4 linked regions of the Saccharomyces cerevisiae S288C genome follow. Changing the gene in region 1 together with any one later gene gives a genetic interaction. Each region holds a gene or a part of one and is shown in the gene's direction. Other genes may lie near its edges. The genes, in order: APM3, ARL3, COG5 and RIC1.

Region 1 (7,900 bases):
TAAATTGCTAAAGACACCATCAAACATGGCACCTTGTTGTATATCCGAAGACTGTTGTGTACGTTTCTTAAAAAGTCTATCAAGAATATTAAAATGTCTTCCTATTTTTCCTATATGTCTGGCTGCTTGTTCCCTCAGCTGGTGTGGTACTAGTCTTTCTGTCGTACTATTTCCTCCACTGCTGCTTCCCTCGTCCTCTATGCTATCTTCCTCGTCAGACCCTATTTCCGTTTCCCCTTCTACGCCAGTTTGTGTGTCTCTAGTTCGTCCTGCGTTTCCGACATTTATGCCATCAGTAGATGAACCTGCATGAAGTGTATTCATTTCTTGCCCTATAAGTAGTTCTTGCTCTGGCATAGCGCTTAGTTTCCTAGACTACGTGTTCTTGTTATTCTCATGCTCTTTTTATGTATCTAAATTGGAAGATTTTTATAAAGGTTATGTACTATTCTTCTAAAAAAAGTAGGCGCAAAGGGACTCCGCATCGTATAACACGATGATAATACAAATTCTTCCACGGTTATTTACATCTCCGGTATATTTTATATATGTGTATATATTTTCTATGTATTCTGTGTGTTATTGTTACTGCTACCATTATTGCTATTAGTCAACAATGTCGCTTCGCTATCATGTGGTGCTACTGGAGGTGCTATAGGAAGACTAGGTGTAGGTACCGATTTACTAGCTGCCCCACCTGGGATTACTGGCTGCAGTGTGGGATTGGGTGAATTAGTAACAGTGTGATTGGCAATCGGGTTTGGGATTGAAGGTATCGTCACACCAGCGCGAATGTTACTATTCAGCTTAGTTTTCAGCGATTCTGGACTCGGAAGCATTGCATTGGTGCCACTACTTGTGTCATTGGGCGCTGCTGCGAACTCTTCTTTTGTATTAACTTTCCCAGGCAGTTTAATAGAAAGTAGTAGCGAATGACCCGGAATATGGTCAATAATATAACAAGGAGGTGAAACTGGCTTAGGTCTATCTGGCCTGCTTTTATAAGTGGTTGTGTTTCTCAATTCGTACGATTCCACAGAAGGGCCTACGTCAACACCACCAGGCATTAAAGTGCTAGGTACTGGAGTCCTGAAAGTTCTTGGAATATCTGCAATATCTGGCAGTAAAATCTCTCCTGGTGGCAACGATGAAGCATTTCCTGCTGCTACTGTGTTGTGAACGCCGTTCATAGATGTATTACTTGCAGATGTGCCGGACAATGCGAGCATACCACGTCTATTAGATCTACCTTGTCTTCTTTTCCTTCTTGTGTCTCTGTCCTTATCTTTATCCAATCTCTCTAACTCTGCAGCTGAAATCTGTAATAGGTTTGGAGTAAAAATTTTGCTTTCCGCTGCAGGCCTATAAACATCATCAAGAGTAATCGTTGGGAGCATTCTGCTTCTAATGTCATCATCTTCTATCGCTGATCCATCAAAATTGTAACCTAACAGTGCCAGTGATTTATGATACATATGAACTTGCTCTCTTATGGAGTGAGCAATGGCAGTCACAAACTCACCTGGTAGTTCTAATTCTTGACACATGGACTCTGCAAACTCTTCTGGACAGTTATCACTATTAGAGATGTCCCACTCAAATTGATCGATTAACTGGTTTTGTCCCACGACAATATCCAGCTTGATTCTAATTCTCAAGTCATCACCGCCTAGACGGTCCTGATTCAACTCTATATATGGATTTCCTTGAAACTCCTGAATCTGCTCTTGTATAGATTGACAAATAGTATCAATGTGTTGCTCTCTCGTAGCGTCCTCAAATCGGTAATCTCGCAACATGTCGTCCACAAAGTCTTCAATTTTAATAAGCTTGTCATTTTTGTTCCATAACAAAGTGTCCCTGAGGAAGAATCTGTCACGATCTTGATCGAACTCCAATCTTATGGGAACTAACTGTTCCGATGTCTCATTCATGGCCTGTTTATAGACTTTTAATTTATCCTCTAGGTAATGCTTCCTATTTCCAACTTCTACTTGTGGAATAACTCTGGTAGTTGTATTCGTAATCCCATTACCATACCCTGAGTAACCATTTCCCCAAATACTTGCCGAAGGAATCTTCTGAGAAGTGCTTGTGATAGATTTCATTCTAGTGTTCTTCAAATCTTGATAATACTTCAGTGTATGCCACAGTCTACTAATATACTCTTTATTACTAAATCCATAAATGCTAAACGGATCGTAACCATTGGTTTCTCTTATTAGCGAATATTTGTTAATTTTATCACGCTGGATAATTTGTTCGTACAACAAAGTATCCGTATCTGCTTTTTTGTCTGACCAATAGGTTGGATATGGTAGCTTGGTTTCTGGTGGATCGTATTGAATAGTTTGGTACTTGGGTAAGTTTAATTTTGGAAGTTGAGGAAGTTGGCCAATAGTTGGCTGAACATTGGTGGGAGGTTGTCCACTCATGGATCTAACTTGAGGAACTTGCTGAGATTGCGGTATTTGTCCTTGCTGCTGCTGCTGCTGCTGCTGCTGTTGTTGTTGTTGTTGCTGTTGTTGTTGCTGCTGCTGTTGCTGTTGCTGTTGCTGCTGTTGCTGTTGTTGTTGTTGTTGTTGCTGATGCTGCTGCTGCTGTTGTTGTTGCTTTTGTTGCTGCTGTTGTATTTGCACATGATGCCTAAACTGTTGTTGCTGTTGTCGCTGTATTTGGTTTCTAAGTTGCTGCTGCTGTTGCTGCTGAACCAGCAATTGCCTCTGCTGTTCTAGCTGAGTTTGTGCCGTTTGCTGTCCCTTTTGCTGCTCAATTTGGCGTTGCACTTGTTGTTGTGCAACAGTAATTGCATTCACAACCTGTGGATTATTTTTTGCTATGGCCTGCTGCCTCAACTTGTTCAAAACTTGTTGCTGTGTAGCCAAAGGTAACTGAGCAATTTGTGGAGGCAAATTAATAGGCGCTGGAGCTAAGGGCACTTGACCAATTTGGGGATGTAAGTTGTGTGGTGCTGGAGGAGGAGGAGGGGTAGAAGTCGCTGATTGATTAGCAATGGGTTGAGATTGTTGCGGAGGAGGGGGTGGAGATTGATGCGTTTGCGGTGGCGGTGAAGTTTGTTGTTGTTGTTGTTGTTGTTGTTGTAGACGACTCCTCAGTAACTGTTGGTGTCGTTGCTGAATCATCTGCAATTGTTGTGGTGTGAGGCTCTGATACAGCTGTTGCGGAATTTGCGCCATGTTAAAAGATGGAGTTCCAATGTTGCTAAATATATTTCCAATACTATTTGGAACGCTGTTGGTACCCTGCGGCTGATTATTCATTGTTGCTTTTGTGTAGTTCTTTACTATATGTTCCCTTGATGATGCTTTGTTTTGGTGTTTATGTTTGAAATTTCAGTTTCTTTTAAATGCGACGAAAAATGAAATTTTTGGTCAAAGAACAAGAAGAGATTTATTTAAAGTTGGCGATAACAGGACTTGGGCAACAACAGAGGCTGTAAACCTTACCAACCCAACCAAAATAGATGTATTTGTCATTCTATATCACTGATACAAAGAACAAACTTATTTTCCAGTATCTTTTAGGTGCAACAGCTCCCTCCTTCAAGCACCTGTGGACCCGCGTTCAGTCCACATGTCCTCAATTGCTCGAAGATAGCAGTAGTGATGATTATTTAGACCATTCAATGGTTGGAAGAGATTTAGAGGTCTATAAGTATTTCTCAGTTATAAATAAGCTCAATTATTGGTGCTTAGCCTCCACTTCGAAGTCAAAAGGCCCGCTTGATTGTTTTACCTTTTTAGAGACTATAGATCGTATCCTGTTAGAATATTTTGACAAGGATAAATTAAGTATCAAGAAAATTGTTAATAATTATGATAGAATCAGTTTGATTTTTAACTGTTGCGTCGAAGCGGGTGAACCAAATGTGAGTGATATGCTCTATGTTAATAAAATTAAAGAAGCTGTTCCTGAAAGATCGGATTTATCGAAGTTCATAAGTTCTACAGCCCATAATTTACAGCAGGCTGTGCAACTCCCACAACAAAGGCAACAGCAGCTACAACAAAATCAGATTTCTCGTGGTAGTAATTCACTAATCGAAAATGAAGAGATTGTTCCCTGGAGAACTTCAAGGGCTAGCAAACATGAGAATAATGAGCTTTATGTGGATTTGTTAGAAACATTCCATGTTGTATTTGAAAAGAAAAAATCACATCTAAGGTTGCTCACTGGAAGTATCCATGGAATAGTGGACGTGAGATCTTATTTGAATGATAATCCTCTAGTTGCAGTAAAATTAAACACTATGGGAAATGATATAGGTATACCCAGTTTGCATGACTGTGTTGAAATCAATGATGGTGTGTTTTCTCCCTCTAATATAACGTTTATACCACCAGATGGGAAGTTCAGATTGCTGGAGTATTCCGTCGATTTAAGTTCTCAAGTAAAGCAATCCGGAGTAAGGATGAATTCTATTGGCTTGATGTCTTTACACTTCCAAAATGGATTGGGTAAAGATTCTGATGAATTTGAGTTATCCTTAAATATTGAAAATTTCAAAAAAGTTTCACAAGTTGATGACCTAAAAATAGATTTACAGTTCAATGTTGAGAATGCTGATCCAAATGAAATAGCATATAAGATAAAAATATTGCGCAATACTCATGGCCGTTTTGAAAATAGCATTATCATGGGTCAAGGACAATGGATTTTTGATAAATCAACTGCCACTGGAACGGTACCTGTACTACGTGGCTGTATTGAGTATGAAAATACTGGGCCAAATTTTACAAAAAAAGTTGATTTACAAACAGTCTCCTTAGAATATTCTTACATAGGACAATCGGCCAGTGGAATCTATGTAGAAGCCATCGATATTGTATCTGGATTAACAATTGGCAAAAATACAAAGCTGTACAAGGGTGCAAAGTATAAGACCCAGACAGGCAATTTTCAAGTAAGGCTGTAGTTATATGTGTACTTGAAATTCCATGCGAAACTAAATAGAATATAATGAGAATATAAGTCTTGGAATAAAAAAGGAATATAAAACTATGCTAAAAAAAAAAAAAAATGAATAAGACTTTCATTCATGAAGACTCTATACAAAGGAATGAAAAGTTGTATTAAGTTGGGTTAGCCCACTGTAAAACGTAAATTGCACCTGAGACAACAATAATACTTACAGGCAAACTTAAGACAGCGTACCCCCAAAATAGAATATCGGCCATTTCTGCCTCGAAAAATTCATTCAGTTGAGTGATTTGAGTTAATTGAATGGCAGGAGGGGAAACAGTCAAAAGAAAACCGACAACAAGGAAAATTGGATCGTCCAAAATACTCACGTTTATGTACTTAACAGCAATAGCAATAATAGGCAAAAGGAAGCAAGAAGGTAAAATCATTCTTCCGATGATGGAGCCGATCAATAACTTGCTATGGTGAACCGTCTTAGGGAAGACTTCCGCAGAAGGATATAAGTTAGAACCGAGGACAACCAGGATCAGTGGGATAGAAACTGAACCCAGCTGCGTAACAGCCTCGGCAAATGTGTTATTGATAAACCCATCTTCCATAAATAGCTCTCTCTGCAACGGACCAATTGCTGCCACAACAACAGCAAAAATCATGGAATATAACGGAGGATTAAGGTTCGCTCTGATTCTCTCAAATACAGTGCATGATTTTTGCCAAATCTTATCACCGATGGAACTCGAACTCAAAAAAGATGAGTTCATTCTGTTATTTTCTTCTTCAAGCAATTCTTGTTCCTCTTGTTCCTCATTGACAAGTTCCTCGTTATCAATGTTGGGCGTCCTTTCCAACAAAGATTGCACTTGAGAAGGTGGCATATGCTGAGTGTTCTCTCCAGACCACTTCATTAGCTTATTGTAACCCCAGCTCCACCTCAGCATTTGTCCGATTTGTTGAAAGATCAGCAAGTATAAAATACCCCTTGATGCAACGTTATCTCTGTTATCATTAGGAATTTGGTCCCAAGTTAAGTTGGGCAGAGTGTAAGCCAAAGATAATGTCAAGGACACAGGTAGAGAGTTACTGTTACCAAAGACAGAGTTTGCCACCACAAAATTAGTTTCATCTTTATCCAAGTCTAGGATACGGCTCATTATCTTTCCGGAAATAAATGAAATACCAGTAGTCAAACCAAAAAAAATAGGAATGATGGCTATTTCAAAGATTTTGGCCATGGACAGGGATTTGGCCAACTTACTAAAAATAAGACATGGTGTAAAAAGGTCCACGTTCAACAGAGAAATGATTTTTTGACTTTGTTTGGGCAGCAGACCAGAACTAGCGCTCCAAAAACCAGCGAGTGCGATAATGACTACCTGTAAAACGGACTCAAAGACCAAATAAGCCAAATGAGCAAAACTAAATGTTTCAACCATATAGTAGAAATGCAGAGTAATCTATGAGGGTATGGTTAGTTGGGAATAACAAACCAAAAACGGGCTTCACACATATTGTTCAATTTACAATAATTTCCTGTTTAAACTTTTATATCACAATTTCAGTTTTTTTTTCTACCTTTTTTTCACTTTGATAAGGAGGCTGTGATCCCCTTGATGCACGTGCAGTTAAAAAAAAGAGGGTTTTTATTTTCTTTTAGATAATTATACAGAAATACTTGATGTGAACAGTACACTTAAATAATCAAGAAGTCGGCCCTGTACTTAAATTGTGGTTGTTGAGCATTCAATATGTCCACCTCTTTGTGCTTTTGGGTTTCTCTTTTTGGGAAACCCTCGAAAGAGTCAGCATAGGTGGCCACAGAGTGAGCAATCAACTTGGTGTTGGTAATGAATGCGTCCCAGGATAAGTTAGAGACATCATCACATAATTGATGGTAGCATCTGTCTAAGACCTTTCCGTTGTTGACGTTATTCTTTTCGGCACCAGTGGCAATACCACCGGCTGGAATTCCGTTGTTGATAAACCCGACATAATCGGATCTACCGTCAAATGGGACCAAAGTGTAGTTCAAGTGATGAGCCTTGTAGTAGTCTACGTACAGGTTTTTCAACTCTTCAGACCCCTTAGGGTTCTCCTTGTTGTTCGCATCATAAATTTCGTATTCATAGTTTGGAGAAGCCATCATGTCATAGTCCATAAATACTCTGATCTTGGAGTTTTCTTCTTTGGTCAAGTTATAAGCGTAGAAGTTAGAGCCTAGCAAACCTTCTTCTTCAGCAGCCCACCATGCAAAACGGACCTTGTTATTGATCTTGAAATGGGTCAATTGCTTAGCGACGTTCAATAGGGAAATAGTACCGGAACCATCGTCGTTGATACCTGGGCCCTCCTCAACAGAGTCTGAATGAGCACCAAGGGCAACAATATTATCAGGATCACCGTGTTTTGTGTCGGCAATGATGTTCTGGGTCTTGATAAATTCTACATAAGAGTCCATGGCAAAATATAATGAATAATCGATGTTCAATGCAATATTGGCAATCAATTTTTTACCAACTTTATATGGAACACCGACGGTGGCGACAGTGTGCTTGGTAGGTTCGCCTAATGTACCGTGTAGTCCTTCTTTAGATTTAGGTTCGTTGTCGTAAATGACCACAGCGGTGAAACCGAACTTACCGGCCAAATTACTCTTATCGCCAAAAGGACACTTACCTCTTTCGATAAGGGCAATTTGCTTTTCGTTGTGTCTTGGTGGGACTACAGAGGCGTAATCCTTCTCTTCACATCCCAAGTTAGGAATTTCGACTAGCTTACCTACGAACCCGTCCACAGGTGGAGAAAGTGCGAAAGCTGTAGTGTTAGCAAAGCTTTTACCGGTTTCGGCGTCAGAGAGGTTGAAAGAGATGATCTTACCGGATAAAGCTTCGAACTCTTGCAAAGAAACATCATAGTAGTCCTGCATGTCATCGAAAACATTCAATATGTATTCCATAGT
Region 2 (6,833 bases), on another chromosome or scaffold:
TTACTGAAATTTGAAATTTGATTAAAAAAGTCAAACCAAAAAAACTACGACAATACATGAAGCTCTGAATCTTCTAGCCTAGTCATTTTATATATATATATTCACCTCCTCTCGATACGTTCCATCATAAGTTAGTTTTGTTTTTCTCTTTCTCGCGATCCTAATTAAAAATTAAATAAAATAAATAAATACATATGTATATATATTCATATGTAGAAGATTATTGTTCTTATACATCAGTGTTTTGATTTATGGTAACCTATCCCAACCTTCTGGCTTATCTTTCTTCATAATGTCGAAGTAATGTCCGCCACATGAACCACTTCTAAACGTGAAATCGTTACCCTGGTCACAGTTACAATTATATTGGTTCCATATATCATCGTTTAGGGGACAGTTATTGTACTTGTCATAATGGAATCCTATATTTTCGAAAAAATGTATTTTATCCTTTGGCAACAGCATCGATAACCCAATTGTGTGGATGATGGAATCAGACCATTTCCAGTAGAAAATACCGCCCTCTTCGTCGATGTAATTAAAAAATTTCCTGTAAGCTGGCGATCTATAAAAGTTCAAATTACCAATTTCAAAATTTGATGTGAATTCACAGTTGTTAAAATCTTCAGAGTCCTTTTTTGTAATAAATGACTTGAAATTATTCTCGGAAATAAACTTTGGAAAATCCTTTGCAAATTTTTTCGTAACATCCCAAATCTTCTCATTGGCTTCCTTAGCTTCACTCATACTCAATGTGAAACCAAACACTTTGCCTTCATCTTGCATCCACCTAAAAAGGTCATGATCAATATCACAGTACAATTTAATACCAGGGTCTACTCTCCAGTACCAATCAAACTCATCCAGAACTGGATGCCTCCAAAAAAACCCTGCAAAATATCTAGCTTGATATCTTACAGCTCTAGAATCACCATCCGGTACATTTGCTAATGAAATTAGCGATTCTGCTGCTTTATTTTCATCAATCCATTCAGGGTATACCCATTCGTCTGCAGGAATTTCAGCAAATTTAATATTAATTAACTCAGGATCACCATTCATAGAATCAGTTATGGCTTGACGAATCATTTCTTGCTTCATTCCGTCAAGCTCCCCCTGACTAATAAAAACCCAAGGATAAGCAAAATTTTTGTTAAACTTCACCTGCACTTCATCAATAGATTGTAAGATTTGGGTCATGGAATCCCTTTCAGTAATTAGTGAGACAAAGCACGCCTTTGGTGGTGATCCTCTATGATTGATATACGATGGCACCATGAACCCTAGCGTCGTTTCATTACCACCATAAGATTTGATCTTTTCCTTAATGGCATTCACGGTGGCATTTCTAATGGCCTCTCCCTCTAAAGATTGCTTCAATTCGGCTTCTTCCTGTTCACTTTGTATACGCCTTTGTTCCTCTGCACTAATTTTTGCAATAGGTTGCAAAGATTTCGGAAGGTATGGTGTAACATACTGTTCAGACATCTGCTTTGTTTTTGGATGATTTATTGTCACCATTAGCGCAAGCACGAAAACAAACGAAATCAACAGAAAGCGTGCTATTTTTTTGCTCAGCAGTACGTGCATCTTACCTTATCTTATCTTCACTAAAGGGCACAAAAGGTTGGGTGAACGCTTAGTATCCCTCTAGTCTTGTATACTCGTACACATTATAAGTACATTTAACAAATCTCATCCACATTTCTCGAATAAATATCACATGTAACTTGAAGGTTATTTTTATATTTTTTTTTCCTGTGAAGGAACAACTCGTGTCTCACGAGAGCGCCACTTAAAAAACGAAAAGATAATCGGCGATGACTATATATGTATGTGATTGAGAATAAAAATATGGAAAGATAAAAGACCTAGTAACGTTGTATTTCAATAGTGAGGATAACATAAAGAAGTAAAAAGATCTTTGAAAATGTATGAAGTAATACAGAAAAGGAAAACAAAAATAATAAACGTTTTACAGAGTCCTGAACTCATGAGGCTCATAGAGGACCCATCAAATCTGGGTATTTCTTTACATTTTCCAGTAAGTTCACTGCTAAAAAGTAATAAGTGCACACCAATGCCTAAACTTTCTACGTATAGTTTGGCTAGTGGGGGATTTAAGGATTGGTGCGCGTGACATCCCTCTAGACGTTCCACCAGAGATTGATATCATCGATTTTTACTGGGATGTTATTTTATGCATGGAATCTCAATTCATATTAGATTACAATGTTCCGTCAAAAAATAAGGGGAACAATCAGAAGTCTGTTGCTAAGCTGTTGAAAAATAAGCTTGTAAACGATATGAAAACTACGTTAAAAAGACTAATTTATAATGAAAATACCAAGCAATATAAAAATAATAATAGCCACGATGGTTACAATTGGAGAAAACTAGGCTCGCAGTATTTCATACTGTATCTTCCCCTATTTACGCAGGAACTGATTTGGTGTAAACTTAATGAAAACTATTTCCATGTTGTATTACCATCTTTACTGAATAGTAGGAACGTTCATGATAACCACAGTACCTATATAAATAAAGATTGGTTACTTGCCCTTTTAGAGCTAACTTCCAACCTGAACCAAAACTTCAAATTCGAATACATGAAATTGAGATTGTATATTTTAAGAGATGATTTAATTAATAATGGTTTGGATCTTTTGAAAAATCTTAACTGGGTCGGTGGGAAACTGATTAAAAATGAAGATAGAGAAGTCTTGTTGAACTCGACCGATTTAGCTACGGATTCTATTTCTCATTTATTAGGTGATGAAAACTTTGTTATTTTAGAGTTTGAATGCTAAGCAGTTATATTCAGTTAGAAGCATATATCCCACCATTAAATAAGTTAACATACTACTGCATTTTTATTTTATGTTTAAGAGCAGATACGTCAATGTAGCTTGCATATGTACGTATCCTCCCCCACCTCCTATTTTCTACTTTGAACTTTATGGGAGTGTTAGTATAAGAAATATGTTTACACCTTTTTCAGACAAATGTAAACGGAAAATTAAAAAACGAATTCAGATCGATGTGTTAATCAAGTAGATGAAGGAGAATAAAGCATATAAAGCGCACCGCACACATGTTTCATTTAGTCAAGGGACTTTACAATAATTGGAATAAAAAGGAACAATATTCAATTCTAATATTAGGTCTAGACAATGCAGGCAAAACGACGTTCTTGGAGACATTGAAAAAGGAATACTCTCTGGCGTTCAAAGCCTTGGAAAAGATACAGCCTACGGTAGGACAAAATGTGGCGACAATACCCGTTGACAGTAAACAGATCTTGAAGTTTTGGGATGTAGGTGGTCAAGAATCACTGAGATCAATGTGGTCCGAATACTATTCCCTATGTCATGGTATAATTTTCATTGTGGATAGTTCAGATAGAGAACGATTAGACGAATGTTCCACGACCCTACAGTCAGTTGTAATGGATGAAGAAATTGAAGGTGTACCCATCTTGATGCTGGCCAATAAACAAGATAGACAAGATAGAATGGAAGTACAAGATATAAAAGAAGTATTTAATAAGATTGCGGAACATATAAGCGCTAGAGATAGTAGGGTTTTACCAATAAGCGCATTGACTGGAGAAGGTGTTAAAGACGCTATAGAATGGATGATTGTTAGACTAGAAAGGAATAAAAAGTCAAGACCACCGATTTATAAATGATAAAGAAGCACCAAAAGAAATAAAATGTGAATGGTTTATTCTCAAGCTCAGAAATTAGTTGTTGTAGCACTTTTTATTCGGCATTTTTTAATATACATGTGTAAATTATATATATATATATATGAATATATATCTTGTTTTGTTTATTTTCAACTAATAATCGCAACAATATTATCTTTCAATAACGCTATAGCTTCTGTATGCTTTTTGCTCAGTTGCTCAATGGTTCTCTTCCTCTATGTGATAAACCAAATAGTTTGGTAAGCCAAATACATCGTAGTTTAATCTCTTCGCCATCTTAGCAAAACCTTCTGTTTCAATCAAGTGATAAAATGGGAAATTAGGGAACATGGCACCGTCTCTGTGAACTTCTGCTTTGACCAAAGTACAGCCTCCACCAACACCATCCAGCGCCATCTCTTCACCTGGTACGCCATTAGCATCGTAGAAATGAGCCATTAATGGCCTATAAGTGGCAATTTCTGCATAACCCTCGACAATAATCTCGTCATCACCCATCTGAGAGGCTATTTCTAAACCGGTGTCACTTTCTTGCCAGTTGTTGAAATCGTATGGTCTGATTGATGGTTGCTTCTTCTCTTCATCGTAAAATCTTTGATAAATGTTTGCAGCTAAGATAGCTTTGTTGTGTTTGGTCATGTCTTGAATTAAAGATGGTGGTGTCTCTATAATATCGGCATCTAGCCACAGCACCCAAGAAGTGTGAGGTCCTATGGTGGAGAATAGTAATTCATTGCGCGCCAAAGCCATTGCTGCACGTCTTTCCTTTTGAACATCTAAAGCGTGTCTTTCCTTCTCCATCAACTTATCAAAACTCTGGGAATTCTGTCGCAAAATAGTAATTTTACTAAATCTTTGAGTTTTCTTGTCCGTTTGAACCTTTTTAATAGCATTCTCCAATTTCTTTAAGGCCAAGTCACCAGTGGCTGTTCTTGGTGTAATGAACCCCAATTCAATCAATTCCCGAGGGTAATTTAGCTGCAGCAAATTGTCCCAGTATTGTTGATGAAATGTTTGCATTGGAGTCAATATCAAAATATGCTCCTTATTGACAGCTGCTTCTGACGTAGAGTGCAATTTGTTCAAATCATAATGTGCAATATGACCTTCTGGGATAATATCTTCCACGTGATCGTTGAACAACCAGCCGCTTTTTTTCTTATAAGAGTACTTTGGCATTTTGTATTTCTTGGTGAAGGGAAAATAAAATGTGTTTTCCTTTTCGTGTGCCCATTTGTGTTGGGAAATGGACTGGCCATTAAGTCCCAACAGAGATTGATCTCTCTGGAAAAAAATTATATATATTAGAAATATGGCCAAAACAGGTAGAAAAATGTTAACCCACGGGTTCTTTCTTAGGCGGTACGATACAAGAGAAAGTGACATTGTTTCCTAACTTTTTATTCTAGCTCTTTTAAATTCTTCTGTTTGAAAAATACTAAAATTGATGCTATTCTCTTCTTACTTTCACAAAGTGCGGAAGGAAAAATAGGTTCAGAAATAACGGGTCCCAAGAGCGGCTAACAGAAAATAATAAAAGCTTTTCTACCAATTGAGAATCCGCTTGGTTGACGACTTTTCCTCCTTTATTATTCTTGATTTGGTGTTCTGTTTTACTTATATCAAAATACTTCAACGCCAAATCCGCTACAACGATGGAAAGGAAAAAAAAAAAAAAAAAAAAAAGACAAACCAATGCTGTCGTGTCTAGTGACGATAAAGGCTGTAACTATTAATAAGGTGAATACTCACCCTCATCTTTTAGTTTATCAAACTTATATAAAAATTGTGTATGTACTGAATTGTCCTTGGTGTGCGAGTGAGAGTGTGTGTGTGAGTGCGTGTGTGAGTAGGTGAGTGTATGCGAGTGTATGTAAGTTTATAAGTGCCTGTGTGGCTACTATTTTCCGGTTCTGTGATGTGATGATGATTTTTTTGTCAGCTCCTTTGATTCATTCCATACTTTATTACATATGCTCATAAACATTTTCTTGTCTACATTGCTAGAGCTCAGGGGGAACTCGAAGGCAAAAATATGCGATGAGAGTCGGATTTCGCCTTGAAGAAGACTAGGTGATTGCTGCTGCGGCTGCGAGGTCCGCTGGAACGTAGTAAAAGTGGGAGTGGGGACCGCTCCGTCCTCGATGGCCAAGTCCGTACCCTCTTCTTCGTCTTTATTGGGTTCTGCCTCATGCCATGAACTCCTGTCCCGGTTTGTGCTTGTGCTTGTACTTGTGCTTGTGCTTGCGCTTCTGGCTTTCGTGTTGGCCGAGAGTAATGCATCCCGTTCAAAGTGGTATTCTTCAGCAGGTATCATATCTGCTGGGCGTAGATCCGCGCGCTGTTGCGTAGGACCGGCATTCGCACTTGATCCTACGCTAGAATTTCTTGAGCCTTCCTCGGATCGTCTGGTTTTCCCAGTGGAAGCGGTGCCACTCAAAGGCGAATCATATGAGTCGTTAACCCTCTTGTTTCTGTAATTGCTAGCACTATACTCATTTTCTTCGTAGGGCCTAGCGTTGCCACCTTGCATAGCATAAGGAATGGAGGTCCGCGGTCCCATTGGATATGGATACGACACGTAGGGTGTCATTATGGGCTTGTTCAGCATGTGAGGTGGAGGGATACCGTACGGATTATAATATGGTGACATTATGTAGCGATTCATGGGCATGTAAGGGTTCATGGCGCTCATGATGCCCGCCGAGGGCATGTGTGGTTTCCCATAACTATTGCTGCTATTATTCACTTGTATAGATTGTCTAGAACTGGCCTTTCCCAAGTATTGGACACGGGGCTGGAACTTGGAATGCTGAGTAACTTGTGCGGGCGCGCTTTTCACGTTTTGATTAGCAACAGGAGGAAAATGTGCAGAGTTAGACGAAGCCAAGTTGCCGTCCTTAATATTACCACCGTGTGTATTAGTGTTGCTATCCGATAAATTCAAAGGCGCCGGGACTCTGCCCCTCTTCAATGATTTCTTCGGATTCTTCAATGGTTGGGCTTTCCTCTTCTTCGCAGTGGCTGTCTCAGAATCCTCATGATCTGCTTCCTTGTCACCAGAGTCATCCTCCTCAGGGACATGCTCTAGCTCCGACTCCTGACCAACGCTGTTTCCGCC
Region 3 (7,594 bases), on another chromosome or scaffold:
TAATCAAGCATGATTACGAATTGATAGTCCGTGGAAGCATGAAGTATGAGGTGCCCTTTTTCAATACGCAAAAATCTACGGCTATTCAAAAGGATTCCATGGTCCATCCTGGTAAGAAGTGAGTGTTAAGAATGTAGCTTTTTCGTCAAAGCTGGGTATTTTTCTTTTTATAGCGCAGGAGCGGAAGGCAATTTCCAAAACAGGAATGTACTTTCCAAAAAAGGAAAATGTAGTTTGTTTTTTGATGTTTTTTTCTCTTTGACTATTTCAAATTTAGAAGTGAAAAAATACAAAAATGTTACATAGGATTCGATACAGTGTAATATATCATTATTATTACTTTTAAATAAAGCGTTTAGTAAACAAGAGTGAGGGTTATGCAACTCGTTTAGTAAACATTCTTTTTTTTTTCTTCATTTAAGTATAAGACAACAATAGTAGCGGAAGCGATAGTAATACATTTGGTAGCGATAAGTGCACATGCAATTTCACTCAGATAAGCAGCATTTGGACAGTAAAACCGACATCGATTTCAAGCCAAACTCACCGCGTTCCTTACAAAATAGGAATACCAAAAATTTATCTTTAGATATAGCAGCACTCCATCCATTAATGGAATTCTCATCGCCAAGCCAAGATGTGCCAGGTTCAGTAAAATTCCCATCGCCGACACCTTTGAATCTATTTATGAAGCCCAAACCTATTGTGTTGGAGAAATGTCCACCAAAAGTAAGTCCAAGGCCAACGCCACCATCGCTGTCGATGAGGCGAAGCGAGGCCTCTATATACACACTACCAACATCTTTGAAGAACCGAACTGTTTCTCCAAGCGTGTATACAAAATCATCCACAGTATCGTCTATCAGTAAGCTGTCATCATCATCACCGTTATCGTCATTTTCAGAAAAACCTCATCTGAATAGAGTCCATTCATTATCCGTGAAAACTAAAGACTTGAAGTTGAAGGGAATTAGAGGACGTTCTCAAACGATCTCAGGGTTAGAGACATCCACGCCAATTTCTAGTACTCGTGAAGGTACTTTAGATAGTACGGATGTCAACAGATTTTCTAACCAAAAGAATATGCAAACAACATTGATTTTCCCGGAGGAGGACTCGGATCTGAATATTGATATGGTGCATGCAGAGATTTATCAACGAACGGTTTATTTAGATGGACCATTGCTGGTACTGCCGCCTAATTTGTATCTATATTCAGAACCCAAACTAGAAGATATATTATCGTTTGATTTAGTCATTAATGTTGCCAAAGAAATACCGAACCTGGAGTTTTTAATACCGCCGGAAATGGCACATAAAATAAAATATTACCATATTGAATGGACACACACATCCAAGATCGTCAAGGACTTATCCCGATTGACACGCATTATACATACCGCTCATTCGCAAGGCAAGAAAATACTCGTACACTGTCAGTGTGGAGTATCAAGATCGGCGTCATTGATTGTGGCGTATATCATGCGATATTATGGCTTGAGTTTAAATGATGCATACAATAAGCTGAAAGGTGTTGCTAAGGATATAAGTCCAAACATGGGTCTCATCTTCCAACTTATGGAATGGGGAACCATGTTGTCCAAGAACTCACCGGGCGAAGAAGGAGAGACTGTTCACATGCCTGAGGAAGATGACATCGGAAACAACGAAGTTTCCTCGACTACGAAGTCCTACTCTTCTGCGTCCTTTAGAAGTTTTCCCATGGTAACGAATCTATCATCGTCGCCGAATGACAGTTCTGTCAATTCTTCGGAAGTAACGCCAAGAACTCCTGCTACGTTGACTGGAGCAAGGACCGCACTGGCCACAGAACGCGGGGAAGATGATGAGCACTGTAAAAGTTTGTCTCAACCCGCAGATTCACTGGAAGCTTCTGTGGACAACGAATCAATATCTACTGCCCCGGAACAGATGATGTTTCTTCCTTAAGGGACAGCATCTCCCAAAAGAATCTTTATGACTATCAGATCTGCAGGCAGACCGCCTCCCTACGCTTCTAAATAGAATGTACTTAGCACTTCTGCCTACATAGTAATTATTCATCATTGTAAGTGTCACATTGCAAAAATCGTCCAATAGACGTTTTCCTCGTTTGTGATTGGCCCTACGTTTTGCGCCGATACAAGCGGCGGCGAAAAGTTAAAAAGAACAATCAATTAAATAAGAACCATCAGTCCTCGTATTTTGTCTTCTGTTTGCAAGCAATGCACCAAACACAAGATCAACTAAGAACGCATCTACAATGTTACGTAACACTTTTACTAGAGCTGGTGGACTATCACGTATTACATCCGTAAGATTCGCTCAAACACATGCTCTTTCCAACGCTGCTGTAATGGATCTGCAATCCAGATGGGAGAACATGCCCTCCACTGAGCAGCAGGATATTGTCAGTAAGTTGAGTGAACGTCAAAAATTACCATGGGCACAGCTTACTGAGCCTGAAAAGCAAGCTGTGTGGTACATTTCTTACGGAGAATGGGGCCCAAGAAGACCTGTATTGAATAAGGGTGATTCCAGTTTTATTGCCAAAGGTGTTGCTGCAGGCCTACTATTTTCAGTGGGACTTTTTGCTGTCGTCAGGATGGCGGGTGGCCAAGACGCAAAGACCATGAATAAGGAGTGGCAGCTAAAGAGTGACGAATATTTGAAGTCGAAGAATGCTAATCCTTGGGGTGGTTATTCTCAGGTCCAATCTAAATGAACAGGCCAGAAATTTTGAAAGGAAATCAATAGGGGTTAACGATTGTCATGGTTTTTTCAGCTAGTCTGTGACCTGTACGAAAGTGAATATCTTATTACATTATAAGTGTATCCATGGGCATCCGCCCAATACAATGCCAACATATCAAACATAAAATTGGCTGATTGCCACTCTCACATTTTTTCTTTATTTATTTACTCAAATTTTGTAATTTTTTGTTAGACATATAATTTTATATCATTATTCTTATTATTCTTATATTTAAGGGAACCCCCCTGGAATGAAATAAGCTAATATAGTATGAGGGAATCCTGTATAAATGGGTTTACCTTGTTATTCTATGCCTCCCTTTCAAAGACGTATTTCTTAAAAACTTCTCCATTTGGTTGAATACTATGAAAAAAAAAAAATCAACTAGAATAGATATGGAAGATAAAAATGTGTAACAAAAAAGAAGAAAAGAGCTGGAGGTATGACAATAGCGCCAATGGCAAACGATTTAGAAGATTTTGAGTCTCTGCTGGAGCCTGATTTTGATGCTAAACAATTTGGTAATGACTTACTGAAGGCTACTAATAACAATGACACAACCATTTTAGACCTTAACACGCCTCTTAAAAAGCTAAACTATGATCTACATGAGATTGACTCTAGAATAGACCAATTGATGAATAGCAACCCATTGGAGATAATAGAGTTAATTTACAAAAATGAACACGTCAATTCAACCATAGTTGGTGAGTTGAAACCAAGTTTGGGATATATGAATATGTCGTACGATAGACTAAAGAATCAAGTTCTAGATCCTTATGAAAGAGCGAGGAAAGTCCAACTAGCGTTGAGTAAAGTTTACCAAACATCTTTTCTCTTGCGCGGAGCATTGCTTTATATTCATTTATCAAACAAATTAAACGCACTGTCTAAAACAGCCCAACTAAGCACATCAACAGCTATTAATTTAGCCTCCTTACACTACCAACTTGAAATTACTTTGGAAGAAAATAAAAATCTAAAATCCTTGCGGAAAATTAAACAATTAGATCAGGACATTGTTTCCCCCAACAAAAGAGAGTTAATAACATTTTTGTCTTTACAAATGTGTAAAGAGTGCTTGAACTCTATTAAAATCAAATCGAACAAAGAAATAATATCTCAGCTGGCCTACTCCTTATATCTACTTTCATCTCAAGAATTCGAGTCTGCAATAAACAAGATTGTACTATCTAATGTTACAATGAGCTCACAAATCCTATCAAAAATTTTAAATTCTATCAGGATGTTTCCTGATGCGTTCAATGAAGTTGTTGAAAAAGGTTATAACATCTACATTTTAGAAACACTACTACAGAACATCAAAACGGATAATGTTACGAATTCCTCGAGATCTATTGCTGCTAATAAATCACGCCTTGGCAATCTTTTATCAGAATATACCTCAATGAAGAGTAAAGCAGGTTCTGGTACACCGAGAGATCTGTTTTGGAGCAAAGTTTCATCTGCCTTCAAAAAGGACTTTGATATATCTGTTAATAGAGGAGGCCCTGTGGGCAAGTCGCTGTTAAAAAATAAAGATTTTATTATAAACACTATGAAGCAAAGTATGAAAAAATCTTCTGATAATAGTGATTACCAAAGCTACTTGGATGTAATGCTAAACTCAGTATCTATTTCTCTAAATAAGTGAGACAGTTTACATAAAATTAAGAATGTTGATGAAATAGGATGAATCTAAAGCAATTTTCAATAGCATGTGCATATGTTTAATAAAAATTACATGAAATGTAATATTTGTTTATATTATTAAAGATTATACTAGTAATAGTTATTATGAGAAATCCAATATCGGTTAGTTTATATGAAGTATTAATATGTATATATATACATTTACGTGGTCATTCTGTCCTAAACTTAGGGGTACTGCCAGCTTTTGCCAGTGGGTTCAAAGGTACCTTTTTTTTGTTTTTCTTTCCACCACGCTTATGAAACTTTTTCTTCAACTGTTTCTTTATCTCACGAGCTTTGGTATCACGCTCCTTGGTTCTTTCAAGTGCCAGTTTTTTGGCTGCACGTTGCTTTTGACCAGGTCTCCTCTTTTTAATCTTCAATTCCTTCTGCTGCTCTAACTCTATTCTCGCATTGTGCTTATACAGATCTATTATTCGACCCTGGCAATATGGCCATTTATCACGAATACGTAGATCATCCTCCAGAATTTTTGTACTTTCTTGTATTATCACATCATAGTCGATAGAGCTCTGTTGGAATTGCAGCTTTTGGTCTGCAGAATAGCTTGCAAAGTAGTAGTCTTTGGGCCTTTCTTGGTTGATTATTTCTTCTTCAGGTTCCTTCAATGAAATTTTCATCAAACTTACTTCAGTCTGTGGCGTATCCTTCTCTTGAGTTGATGAACCTTGTTCTTCTTGAGCTGGGCTAGTCGATGCTTCAACCACACCAAACGAAAATAACGGGAACTCGAATTCTTCTTGTTTTTCTTCCTTTTGTTCATGTGCGCTGTTATTACTTTCTTTGAGATCTAATGATGAGTCGGTTCTTTCAACTTCAACGAATTCAAATTCTGTTGGCGGTACTAATACCTCTACATGCTCACTATTATTTTTACTACTACTATTGGAATCATAATCTTCTCCTAATCCCTCTCCTTCATTATAAAGATCTTTTCTTGATACTCTGCAAAATAATTAGAATATTAAACGATTCGTTGAAAAGTTAGTAAAAAAATGAAATTAGAGGCAAACTTGTATCTTATGTCAAAGCATACATCTTAAATTCAGACATTTTTATACTGAATTTCAATGTTTTTCTTTTTTTTTCATTAGAGGAGATTTTTCCATTGCTGTTTAAATGAAACTGGTCGTATTTTAAGTACTTCAAATTTTTCTTTTTCGTACTGATCCGATGACTTGAAAATACTTATTTTTTATGTAGGAACAGAATGGCATTTTTGAAGTACATAACTCTCACACGCAAAGGCCAAAATCTTTCACGATTTACTTTTATTTCTATCTGTATTGTATATCAAAATCTATACATGATGATCGGTTAATAAAGATAAAGATTAAAGAAAGACTGATTGTTATCTGTTGATACTAGTCTTCATACTCTGTAAGTATTCTCTATAACTAGCACAATTTAAAACTTTGTCTTCGACAAGAGTACTTAATACCCATAGCCTTAAAGAAGCCATATCTTTTTCGGAGTTTAGGTTGGCGGGCTCGTTAATAGATGGTCCTCTTATTATGTATAATGATTGAAATGTGATTGTATCATTGTTTTCTCTAATTCTACCGATTATCCTCCTTAGTCTTTCATTGAAAGGCGAATCGTTCAAAAGAGGCAGTTCACTTTTCCCCACAGGAATTTGAGATATGGTGTCAGTATTGAATACATCTATTAGTAACTCAGGAACAGCATCTCCGCCAACCCATAAAAATAATTCTGCGGAATTGTCAATTAAATACAGGCCATATCTTTCGAAAAGAGATATAGTGGCATTTATAGGTTCAGGAAGAACCGTTTTTCCTTCAAAGTCAGGTAGACCGACTTCGTCGGGCATGTCGTGCAGGGAGTAAACTGTAGGGTAAATGCTCTTTATCAAATAATGAAGAGGCTCCGTTTCCAATCTATTCAACGCACTTGCACGGTAATCGCTTGGAACAACGCCCGGTCTGAGGGCTATATGTTTACTTAGTCCATTCATTAATAGAGGTAACATTCTCAAATTTGCGCATAGGTTAAGTGAGGTTACTGAATTTATATTAGACATCGAAATTTCTTTTTTGTAGGCATTTAAAATATCTTCGAGCGATTTTGTGATAAAATCCCTCGCAGAGTACATGCTTGAATTCAAAGCCTTAGTCACCGCGTTTTGTGTCATGAAATCAGTAATGGCTAGTTGATCTGCGGATGCAAACACTTCCCTAGCTGATTCGGACGTTGGTAGAGCTAACGTCATGACTCTAATTCTACGTTCACCAGTGTTTAGAGTCAACAATGTTGACACTTGCAAGTAGCAATATTCTGCCATTAATGAGTCTTCGATGGATATCCCGAAAAGATAAGACTGATCTCTAGGCATTGTGGAAAAAGCGCATAAATCAGAGGATCTGTTAAAAAAATGGCCAAAAAACGATGTGGCCCTCAAGCCAGTAGAACAACGAACTCTCATAACAGCTTCCATTGAAATATCCATGGATAAATGCCTTGATAATTCCCTAGTAAACTTAGTAACATCGTTCAAACTGGTGGCATTAAAACCAGGATAAAAATGTGTTTGACCACCAGAAAAACGGCCCAGGTGAGATAGAGTGGCAACGTCCATGTAGTCCTCTGATGCCAGAAACATGTCCACTGTTATTTGTAGTTTATTACACTCAATTGTGAATGTTTTATAAAAGGAATCTTTACACGACAGTAGCTGAGAGCTTTCTTTTGGTGTGTTTAATATGCCCTGTTCACTTCTTTTTTTCAATTTCCCGATGCCAGTATTTGGTAAAGTTGATGAAATGACTTCAACTTTGCCTCCAGTGCTTTTTATCAAATTTGACGCAGCTTTTAGGGCAGGTCCAAGTGCAAACTTGCTACTGTGTGTGTCTTGAAAAATTTCAGGTATCTTTTTCAACAATGTTTCCAGATTATTTTTACAATATTTTAGTGGAACTACTAATTCATCACTCGGCATTGGTAAAAATGGTTCATCCAAATCGCCAATATCAAACATTTGAATTGTTTCTGAATTATCAACGTCTTCCTCTTCCTCGTCTTCATCTTCTTCTTCACCATCTGATTCTTCATCATCCTCATCCGATACTTCATAATCATCATCCAAAGGAACGTAAAAATAATGAAGGC
Region 4 (9,690 bases), on another chromosome or scaffold:
TTTACAAATTTGGAGAATTTCTCTTAAACGATATGTATATTCTTTTCGTTGGAAAAGATGTCTTCCAAAAAAAAAACCGATGAATTAGTGGAACCAAGGAAAAAAAAAGAGGTATCCTTGATTAAGGAACACTGTTTAAACAGTGTGGTTTCCAAAACCCTGAAACTGCATTAGTGTAATAGAAGACTAGACACCTCGATACAAATAATGGTTACTCAATTCAAAACTGCCAGCGAATTCGACTCTGCAATTGCTCAAGACAAGCTAGTTGTCGTAGATTTCTACGCCACTTGGTGCGGTCCATGTAAAATGATTGCTCCAATGATTGAAAAATTCTCTGAACAATACCCACAAGCTGATTTCTATAAATTGGATGTCGATGAATTGGGTGATGTTGCACAAAAGAATGAAGTTTCCGCTATGCCAACTTTGCTTCTATTCAAGAACGGTAAGGAAGTTGCAAAGGTTGTTGGTGCCAACCCAGCGGCTATTAAGCAAGCCATTGCTGCTAATGCTTAAACTCACCCAATGACCGATATATTGTGTTTCTATACTGTGTTTGTTATATATAGTTTACCTTTTTTAGACAAAAAAACAGAATTATATATTATCCTTATGTTTTGTTATTTACTCGGAAGCACACAATTGCCCACCACACAAAGGAGGTGGAGGAAACAATTAATTTTTCACACAAGAGGTATATATTTGGAGAAAAATGAAGAATGAGATACTTTTCTTCCGATTACTTAAGTATTACGGCTCTGAAATTTTCTCGAGCATTAGATGATTAAATCAAAATGACATAGTATTTCGCAACCTTTCAGTTGGGCTTTGTTTAAGAAGTGGAATACTTTTGCTTGAGTTGTTTAGTTTTATTTTATCCACTGTTGTCTTAACAAATATTTTCAAGACCGGTAAGCCGAAGATGAAAAATCATTATTAACTCATTTTTTGAACAAAAATATAAACAAAAGAAAGGCAACGCACAATTTTAGAGATACATAAAACGCAGTGGATGTTAAAAATAACAGCGGTACAGAAACGCCTGTCTCGCTCCAATAATAATTATACAAATTTGAAACCGAACGCAATGTGCCAAGAAATGTAAACACACTATAGAAAAAAATAGAACGGTGCACATTGTGCTAGCATATCTGCTTGGTTCTGAACAAGAAGCACCTGGCCACTTTCTCCTAGCCCAATTCTTGCCAAGTTTTCAACCTCAATCTTTTGTGTTTGAACAAGCATGTATGAGGGGTCAAAATTTAGTGGAGGCCGCTTACAATCCTTCTATTTCCTCTGGACCTCATTAGCCGTCTGGCCAGACCTAAGCGTCATAATCTGGAGAATTTCATTGCATGCGAGAATATGATAAGTAAGAACTTGTTTATTTATACAAGTTCCACCCACTCATACACGGCTACAATTATGACGTATAATAACGTTTCGTCTAGCCCACCTTTTTTACTTTTGACGTTTTATTTCTTTCGAGGATTTGGCCAAGAATGCCCCGAACAGCGGAAAAAATGGCGTCGCAGTTTCAGATGTATAGACTCATCTTGTAGAAAAAAGAATGCAAGAATGAAGTCTTTTCGTGGTGTTTTGAAAACACTATAAACAAACCGTCAACAAACATTTTGTATAAATATTTAGCTATATATTGAATATCTTGACCAGTAAAGCACCTTGAGAAATTGTAAGCTTGAAGAACGTACTTTGATATCCCTCCGTTTCATCATCCTATAGCTCGTCAACAAATCAAAAAAAATATGAAGATCAGTCAATTTGGCTCTTTAGCTTTCGCCCCAATTGTGCTACTACAACTGTTCATTGTTCAAGCGCAACTTCTCACAGATTCAAATGCTCAGGATTTGAATACTGCCCTTGGACAGAAAGTGCAATACACCTTTCTTGACACTGGAAATTCTAACGATCAACTACTTCATCTTCCAAGCACCACCTCTTCCAGCATTATTACTGGTTCATTAGCTGCTGCTAATTTCACCGGTTCTTCATCATCGTCGTCTATACCAAAAGTCACTTCCAGCGTCATAACATCTATAAATTACCAATCCTCAAATTCTACGGTAGTCACCCAGTTCACGCCATTGCCTTCTTCGTCGAGAAATGAAACAAAAAGCTCTCAAACAACTAATACTATAAGTTCAAGTACAAGCACAGGAGGTGTAGGTTCAGTCAAGCCATGTCTTTACTTCGTTTTAATGTTAGAAACAATCGCTTATTTGTTTTCTTAAACAAATATATTAGGTTCAAGGTCTTCGCAGGTGTAAGAAAACCCGTGGTCTCCATATTCTTAAGTATGATAAATAAAAAAAAACTTAATAAATTATTAATTGCTTCAAACCTTTTTCTTTTTTTAGTTTTTAATATTTCAAACGTTATCTTCATTGAACGCCCAAATAGGGAAAAATCCTGGCAAATTTTTTATTGCTGTCATCCAAGGCTATGCTAGAAAATTCAAGAGCTTGGATGATTTAAAAAGACACTCTCAATCGAGAAAGTTTATTCTTTGTTATTCTGCTTTACCTGATCATATTCCGGCGTATTGTTTCTAATCAAGTGATTTCGATATCCAGTTACGAACCATTTACAACATTCCTGAAAATATTGCGTATCAATGATATTTGCTCCTTCTTTCTCCCTCATTAAAAATATTCTCCTGGTAAGCTTTCTAATCAGCCACAGTTTTGCTGCCAAAACTTTAACGTCTAGTTCCAATGACGATACACTTGCCAGGTCCGCAGCTGCAGATGCAGACATGGCATTCTTCATGGAGTTTTTAAACGATTTCGACACCGCTTTTCCACAGTATACCTCATACATGATGCAAAACCATTTAACCCTACCTCAACCTGTTGCTGACTACTACTATCACATGGTTGATTTGGCCTCAACAGCAGATTTACAATCTGATATTGCTCAGAGTTTTCCGTTCACTCAATTCCAAACATTCATTACGGCCTTTCCATGGTATACCTCTTTGCTAAACAAAGCCTCCGCCACCACCATATACCTTCCCCAACACTTCATAACAGGTGAGACAGAAGCTACCATGACTAACTCATCTTATGCCAGCCAAAAAAACTCCGTTTCCAATTCTGTTCCTTTCTCGACAGCGAACGCAGGCCAGTCCATGATTTCCATGGCTAATGAAGAAAACAGTACAACAGCACTTATATCCGCATCAAACTCTTCTTCAACATCCAGAACTAGTCAATCACAGAATGGTGCCCATGCCAAAAGCTTATATTTCCCCATGGCGTTGTTCGGAATCTTTGCAGTTGCCCTTTAAGTGCCTCAACCAAATTTGACAATTTAATTCCATGGGAGGTCCGCCATCCCTTTTCGCTTTTTTTATAATATGTGTATTATTTATACAAATATGTATATAAGTATGTACTTTTTCAATGGACAATTCGATTTTAAGAGCGTTTTTAGTGACAACGATGAACATCAACTTTGTACAGTATCAAACGATTTATTTTTAACATATTATTATAACTTCTGAATGGCGTTGCCATCTTGGCCAAAATCTTGTCTTTTCTGTCGTTTTATGGCAGGCTTTTGTTCTTTGATGTTAATTCGGCAATACCGACGCCTTTGATGTTCATCAAACAGTCTGAAAAAAATACACCTAAATGCCTCTACAAAAAAAAAGGTAAGGTAAGAGTGTTATTGACCGGAAGCTGTAAGAAACTGAACACGTGGAAAATGCACTTATGGCCAGTCAGTCCGCCCCAATTGCTTAGAATTCCACCCCGCAACGCCGAATTAGGTGAGGGTACTAAAATAGATGATTGCAATATTCTTCAATCAATGACACTACCCCAGGCCAATGTTCTTATCATGCTAACCCCAACAAGAGTGCTCATTTACAACTTCAAACCAATGGCACTAGTAGCTAGCCATGAACGAACAATGGCTTCTCTTAAGGAATTTGGCGATAACAGATCAATGAAACGATCAGCTCCATATAATGATATCATCGAAGGGCTTATTTCAAAAAAGGACTCGCAATACTTATTGTGGCACCAGGGAAAGCTGATATTTTACGTAATGACTGATAAAAACTTCCTTTTAACATACCAAATTTTAAAAAACTGCACAAATGAAATAATTTTCAAAGAATACGGCATACCCGTCATAGAGCCTCTTTTAATGAGTGAAGAAGAAGCGAACAGTGCTGAATATGACTATAACAACGATGATGATACTCTCACGGTATTTGATAAAAATAGTTCTTCAAGAATTATACAGAATGGATTTGGCATAACTAAGGAAAAAGGGTTTTTACACTTTCTTTCTAATCAAGAAAACATTGATGAACTCCCCGTGAAAAAACTAGAACTTCGTTTAAAAGTAGTTCTTAAATTTGACTATGAAATCATAGACATGATTGGCATCAAGACATTTTCCAAAGTCGGGGATGGGCGTTATGAAGAAGTTTTGATAGTTTTATTCCCTCATGGATTACAAATACTTACAATATCGGATTTTAAAGTTAGCAAGAGCTCGTTGGTTGAAGTGAAGAAGGGATCCAAGACAATTGTGTGTAATAAACAATTAATGGTTTTATCTCATGATTCCGTCGAAAAGCAGACTATTGTAAGCATTATAGACATTGAAAAGCAAGCTGTTGAAGCAATACCGTTAACGGACACACCAGATGAACTTTTGACTTGCCTAGAAGTTAATGGATACCTGGTGGTCGTTTACAAAGAAAAAATAATCTGCTTTGATACAAGAATTAAAAAAGTAAGCCATTCTTGGAAACCACCATTTGTGATAAAACTTTGCGATAAAATTAATGATAAAATATTACTTTTGGTTTCTGAGGATAGTGTTAACATTCATTTTTACACAGAATTTGGGAATCTGCTATTCGCTACATATTTTGACGAAGATGATTATAATGGTGATAACAATAATGACAACAGCAAGGATAAAAATGAGAAAAAGGCGGCTGAATATAAAATTTCTGATTTTGTATGCTTGGATAAATCACTAATAACAGTGTCTCATTCCGGAAAATATCAAGTTTGGAAATTATGGGAAGAAATAAAACAAACACAATTTGATTTCAGAAACCCAAAATGTTACGTATTAACCAATACGAACAATGATGTAATCATATATTCACCTGTGACAAGTTCTTCAATCAATAATGATAATTTACAAGTCATAAAACTTCCTACAAAGACTTTCAATAATCATATTGCTTTTGTAAAAATTAATTCTTCCTTGAGGTTATTTGCTACTTATGTGTCGAACAAAAACATACTGCTTATCCACAATCTAGAGACCAATATGTGGTCTAGTTTTGCTGACCAAAACGTGTTGGATTTACATTGGCTAGGTGATAATTATTTGGTTTGTCATATGAAGAATGATGATGGCTCAACAAATCTGAAATGTCTGCAGATTCCACTGCAAGAAGCGAATCCGGACGTGGAACTATCAGATTATGTCATGTGGGAATACAATGTTCCAGAGAATACGATTGTTTTCAGTTTACATGTTAATACTTTATCCCGGTATAAGTTGTTGAAAATGAAATCCAAGAATCACAATGCTTCTGAAAAACAACCTGATGCATTGCTTAAAACTGCCGAGATTATTTTAGTTACTGATACACAGACAATTGTCTTCGATGTAATTTCTACTGTACATCCATGTGGATTAAACATCATCAAAAAATTCTACCAGTATCTCAAAATTAACATTCCAATTGATGTTTTACCCAACAAAATTGAGTGGATAATTAACATGAAGGAGGGCTTGTTATTTTTTGCCGATAGGAAATTTATAAAGCTTGGCAAAGTGGATGGAGGGGGCTGGCAAACCTTAACTTTGTTGGATAACATAGAAAAAATAATCGATGTTATCAGGGACGAAATATTTGTAGTTCAAGGCCATAATTACGTCGTATACTCTTTGGAAGATTTATGGGATGATAAAAAGCCACTAGTTTCCATTCCAATCGAAGAAGATTTGTATCCAATATCAACCACCCCAGAAACAGCTACAACACATACACTTCACTGCATTTTTAACGCGCGATTTTCCAAATTGGTGGTGAAACACCAAATATACCTCGACCAATTAATCTTAGCCAAATTAGAAGACAACACAGATTTGGAGGATATTTCACACAATTATCGTTTTTTAAAGCCTTACAAATTTGCACTCGAAAAGATTTTGTCTACTAAAATACTGCGAAGCGACTCTTTGGATGATATCCTGAAATTAATTAAGATGTATGACAACACCGATCCTGAGCATAATATTTCACCACCAACCCACAGTGGTATGTTAGAAATTATTAGTAATTGTTTAAGGAAGATCGAAACTAAATACTGGAACCATCTATTCACTAATCTAAAGATGACACCAAGAGATTTATTAGCACTCTGTATCGAAGAAAATGAGGCTAAAATGCTTGGCGTACTTCTGTTAGTGTTTTTAAATTACGATGAGAAAGATTTGGGAGATGATCTACATTTTAAGAAATCAGATTTAGGGACTGAGGAAAGCAAAGCTCTAAATGATAACTCTACAAAAAAGTCAGAGAAATCTGTCACTAATTTATTGAAGGATGAAGAATTAATGCTTAAAGTCTTAGAGCTTTTGGTGACAAGTGCTGCAAACGCCACAGACCCAATTAAAGCTACCGATTCGTGGGACATGTGTTTCCAATTAATACGCTTACTCAAGGAATTAGACAGAGAAAACAACACACAATTGGTTCAAAAAGCACTCGAGAGATTCAAATAAATCTATATGACACCATGTATTCTTTACCATATAGCTTCATAACATTGACCAATCAATTTTCAGAAATGCGTCGCGCGTAGTTTTGCCCGATATCCCCATCCCTTCAGGATCTTTAAAAGGTGATGAAAGATGCACCAGATAGAAAAGTTGCATTAAAATGATTAGCAGAGATATACAAATATTTTAGTAAGAATACATAAAGTATCTTTGCTTTCACAAATAGGAACAAGCACATAAATACAGTATAATAGACATGGCTGATCAAGAAAACTCTCCACTACATACAGTTGGTTTCGATGCTAGATTTCCCCAACAAAACCAAACAAAGCATTGTTGGCAATCTTATGTGGATTATCACAAGTGTGTTAATATGAAGGGCGAAGATTTTGCTCCGTGCAAGGTCTTTTGGAAGACCTATAACGCCTTATGTCCCCTAGACTGGATCGAAAAATGGGATGATCAAAGAGAAAAAGGTATTTTCGCAGGTGATATCAACTCAGACTAAGGATCTTAGTTTCGTTTTTAGTAATGTGCACTTAGCCTTTTTTATATCATTATTATTAATTACTAGAATTCATTTTTGCGTAGTAGACCTACACGGGATGAAGGATATCTATATGAAAAGTAAAGTAACAATAGGAGATAATGAAAAAGTGATATCATACGCTAACGAATGTTCATGATGGAGCCAAATTCCTAAAAATCAAACAAACAGAAAAAAATGAGAATGATGTGGGGTACTGAAGTTTTATTTTTCATATTTATTTTTAATTATAGTAAGTAGCCATTTCTATATATATTCAAAAATTATTTGACCCTCGTAACATCTGCCACTGCACTGAAAAGAACAAGGCAATGGATAACGCTGATAAAGACGTCAGCATGAACTTTCAATTCACTGAGATAGCAACATTTTCGAGGATTATATAAGGGGTACTAATCTCTTCTAGTCATCGTTTGAAATACATTCAGGCTGAGAAAGATAAACGCTGAACATGTTGAGAATAAGGCACTTCCTGGGACCTACTAAAAGATAATAATATAGTATTTGAAGAGACCTTCATCAACAGCCTGAGATCGGCACACATCCTTCACAAGCGCCCCAGTTCCAGACTGAAGTACACATTTCTATCTCTTACAGTCACTACTTGCGATTGCTACTACTAAACGAAATGATGGCTGATTTCTGAATGTCAATTCTTTACTTATTGTTCTATCAGGCTAGAAGGATAGTAACATAAACTTCTAAAGTACCTTTAAAGAGCCTCAATGCACTGCCTTAACAAGCAAATGACAATTTTCCTATCAATTGTTTCACGAAATACGTTTGTCGTAATTTTACGCATTACAGGTCAGAAGGAGACTAGATAAGGCCGATTCTCCGAGTACTGTTGAACCACAGGCTTCAGCAAGTGAAAACCAACAGACAAAACAAGGAAAACAGCAAGATTAACCGTTTATATTTGCTTCTACTACCTCAACGGAGAATGGAGCAGGCCTTTGAAAACGCTCCTACTTTTGAAATTGCCTTTGTAAATATTGTATCTCCAGCCGCGCTTAGCTAAGTGGATATCACTAGATTAAAAAACACTCTCGAGCTACCCTATGAAGACAAGATTCATCCATAAACTCCCTAAGTGGGTATCCATTAGATGCCAACTACTTCACTCATGCAATACATACAGCAATTGCAAGACTTGTGATTTTAATCCAAAAGAAACTTCCCTGGGTGTCATGAACCCAATCAATGGCCGTAACTCTTCGTATGGTCAGTTTATAACTCTCAATCACGTTTCCTCGCTCATACCCTAACAGGTACGACTCCTCTGATCATATAGAGGGATTTTAATGTTTCTGATTTGGGAAACATTCAATTTTTCTCCTGACAACCGTTTAGTGTCAAACATTGGATATTGCCCTCGTTCAGAGGGCACAGAATAAAATTTGATTTCTGGTTCATTTTCTTGGCCAAAGATTAATTGAAGTTGTCAAGGCATGCCAAAACTTCCTTTAAAGGTATCATCCCTGTACCGAACATTCCTGTGCTCCTGTATATATCATAATAAGATATAGGTAGTACAAAGGCGCGGATCCGTATACGAGATCTATAAAAAAAGCATTGTTGAAGAAAGGGCAACTGCATATTTGTAGTGGTGAAGAGTATGGGATAGGGGAGCCCAAGTAAGAGAAATATCAGCAGTGAAATAGCTATTCAACAATTTATCTGTTCGTCCGTCGCTTATTAAAAAACGGCATATAAATAGAGCAGCTTTGATTAACTCTTTCCGACAATTTGGCATTGTTATTTACATTCGAGTGAGCTCACATCTTCACTAAAAAGATCTACAAAAGTTCAATCGAAAAAAATGGTCAAACTAACTTCAATTGTTGCTGGTGTCGCTGCTATTGCTGCTGGTGTCGCTGCTGCCCCAGCCACCACTACTTTATCTCCCTCTGACGAAAGAGTTAACCTGGTCGAATTAGGTGTCTACGTCTCAGATATCAGAGCTCATTTGGCTGAATACTATATGTTCCAAGCTGCTCATCCAACTGAAACTTACCCAGTTGAAATTGCTGAAGCTGTTTTCAACTACGGTGATTTCACCACTATGTTGACTGGTATTCCCGCTGATCAAGTCACTAGAGTCATCACTGGTGTCCCATGGTACTCCACCAGATTGAGACCAGCTATCTCCAGCGCTCTATCCAAGGACGGTATCTACACTGCTGTTCCAAACTAAGCCGATGGCCTCACAATTGGTATTTAGCACTGGATTGCTTTACGAACGGATAAAAATAATTATGATTTGACGGTAAGAAATAATTAGATATACATACGTATACAAACATATATATGTATTACAGGTACTTTTAATCAGTTGCACTGTGTTCAAA

Evidence for each region.
Region 2: mutations in APM3 (region 1) and ARL3 together harm fitness more than expected from each alone (negative genetic interaction), as found in Saccharomyces cerevisiae (4 studies listed by BioGRID).
Region 3: mutations in APM3 (region 1) and COG5 together harm fitness more than expected from each alone (negative genetic interaction), as found in Saccharomyces cerevisiae (5 studies listed by BioGRID).
Region 4: mutations in APM3 (region 1) and RIC1 together harm fitness more than expected from each alone (negative genetic interaction), as found in Saccharomyces cerevisiae (5 studies listed by BioGRID).

Annotation. Positions count from the first base shown.
Region 1 is NC_001134.8:775,048-782,947, reverse strand, and holds APM3 (Apm3p), read left to right. Parts: upstream 1-3,484; coding exon 3,485-4,936; downstream 4,937-7,900. Other genes in the region: BSD2 (Bsd2p), read right to left, coding at 1-357; SNF5 (Snf5p), read right to left, coding at 564-3,281; YBR287W (uncharacterized protein), read right to left, coding at 5,094-6,377; APE3 (aminopeptidase Y), read right to left, coding at 6,635-7,900. UniProt on the Saccharomyces cerevisiae protein: Part of the AP-3 complex, an adaptor-related complex which is not clathrin-associated. The complex is associated with the Golgi region as well as more peripheral structures.
Region 2 is NC_001148.4:456,869-463,701, forward strand, and holds ARL3 (Arf family GTPase ARL3), read left to right. Parts: upstream 1-3,094; coding exon 3,095-3,691; downstream 3,692-6,833. Other genes in the region: KTR6 (putative mannosyltransferase), read right to left, coding at 250-1,590; mannosyltransferase complex subunit MNN9, read right to left, coding at 3,911-5,098; DIG1 (Dig1p), read right to left, coding at 5,613-6,833. UniProt on the Saccharomyces cerevisiae protein: Involved in the targeting of ARL1 to the Golgi. Can bind and hydrolyze GTP.
Region 3 is NC_001146.8:529,462-537,055, forward strand, and holds COG5 (Golgi transport complex subunit COG5), read left to right. Parts: upstream 1-3,197; coding exon 3,198-4,409; downstream 4,410-7,594. Other genes in the region: VAC7 (Vac7p), read left to right, coding at 1-122; tyrosine/serine/threonine protein phosphatase MSG5, read left to right, coding at 481-1,950; COX5A (cytochrome c oxidase subunit Va), read left to right, coding at 2,264-2,725; YNL050C (uncharacterized protein), read right to left, coding at 4,618-5,413, 5,505-5,521; COPII subunit SFB2, read right to left, coding at 5,820-7,594. UniProt on the Saccharomyces cerevisiae protein: Acts as a component of the peripheral membrane COG complex that is involved in intra-Golgi protein trafficking.
Region 4 is NC_001144.5:222,531-232,220, reverse strand, and holds RIC1 (Ric1p), read left to right. Parts: upstream 1-3,624; coding exon 3,625-6,795; downstream 6,796-9,690. Other genes in the region: thioredoxin TRX1, read left to right, coding at 208-519; NFG1 (Nfg1p), read left to right, coding at 1,770-2,255; AFB1 (Afb1p), read left to right, coding at 2,639-3,313; COX12 (cytochrome c oxidase subunit VIb), read left to right, coding at 7,049-7,300; seripauperin PAU23, read left to right, coding at 9,162-9,536.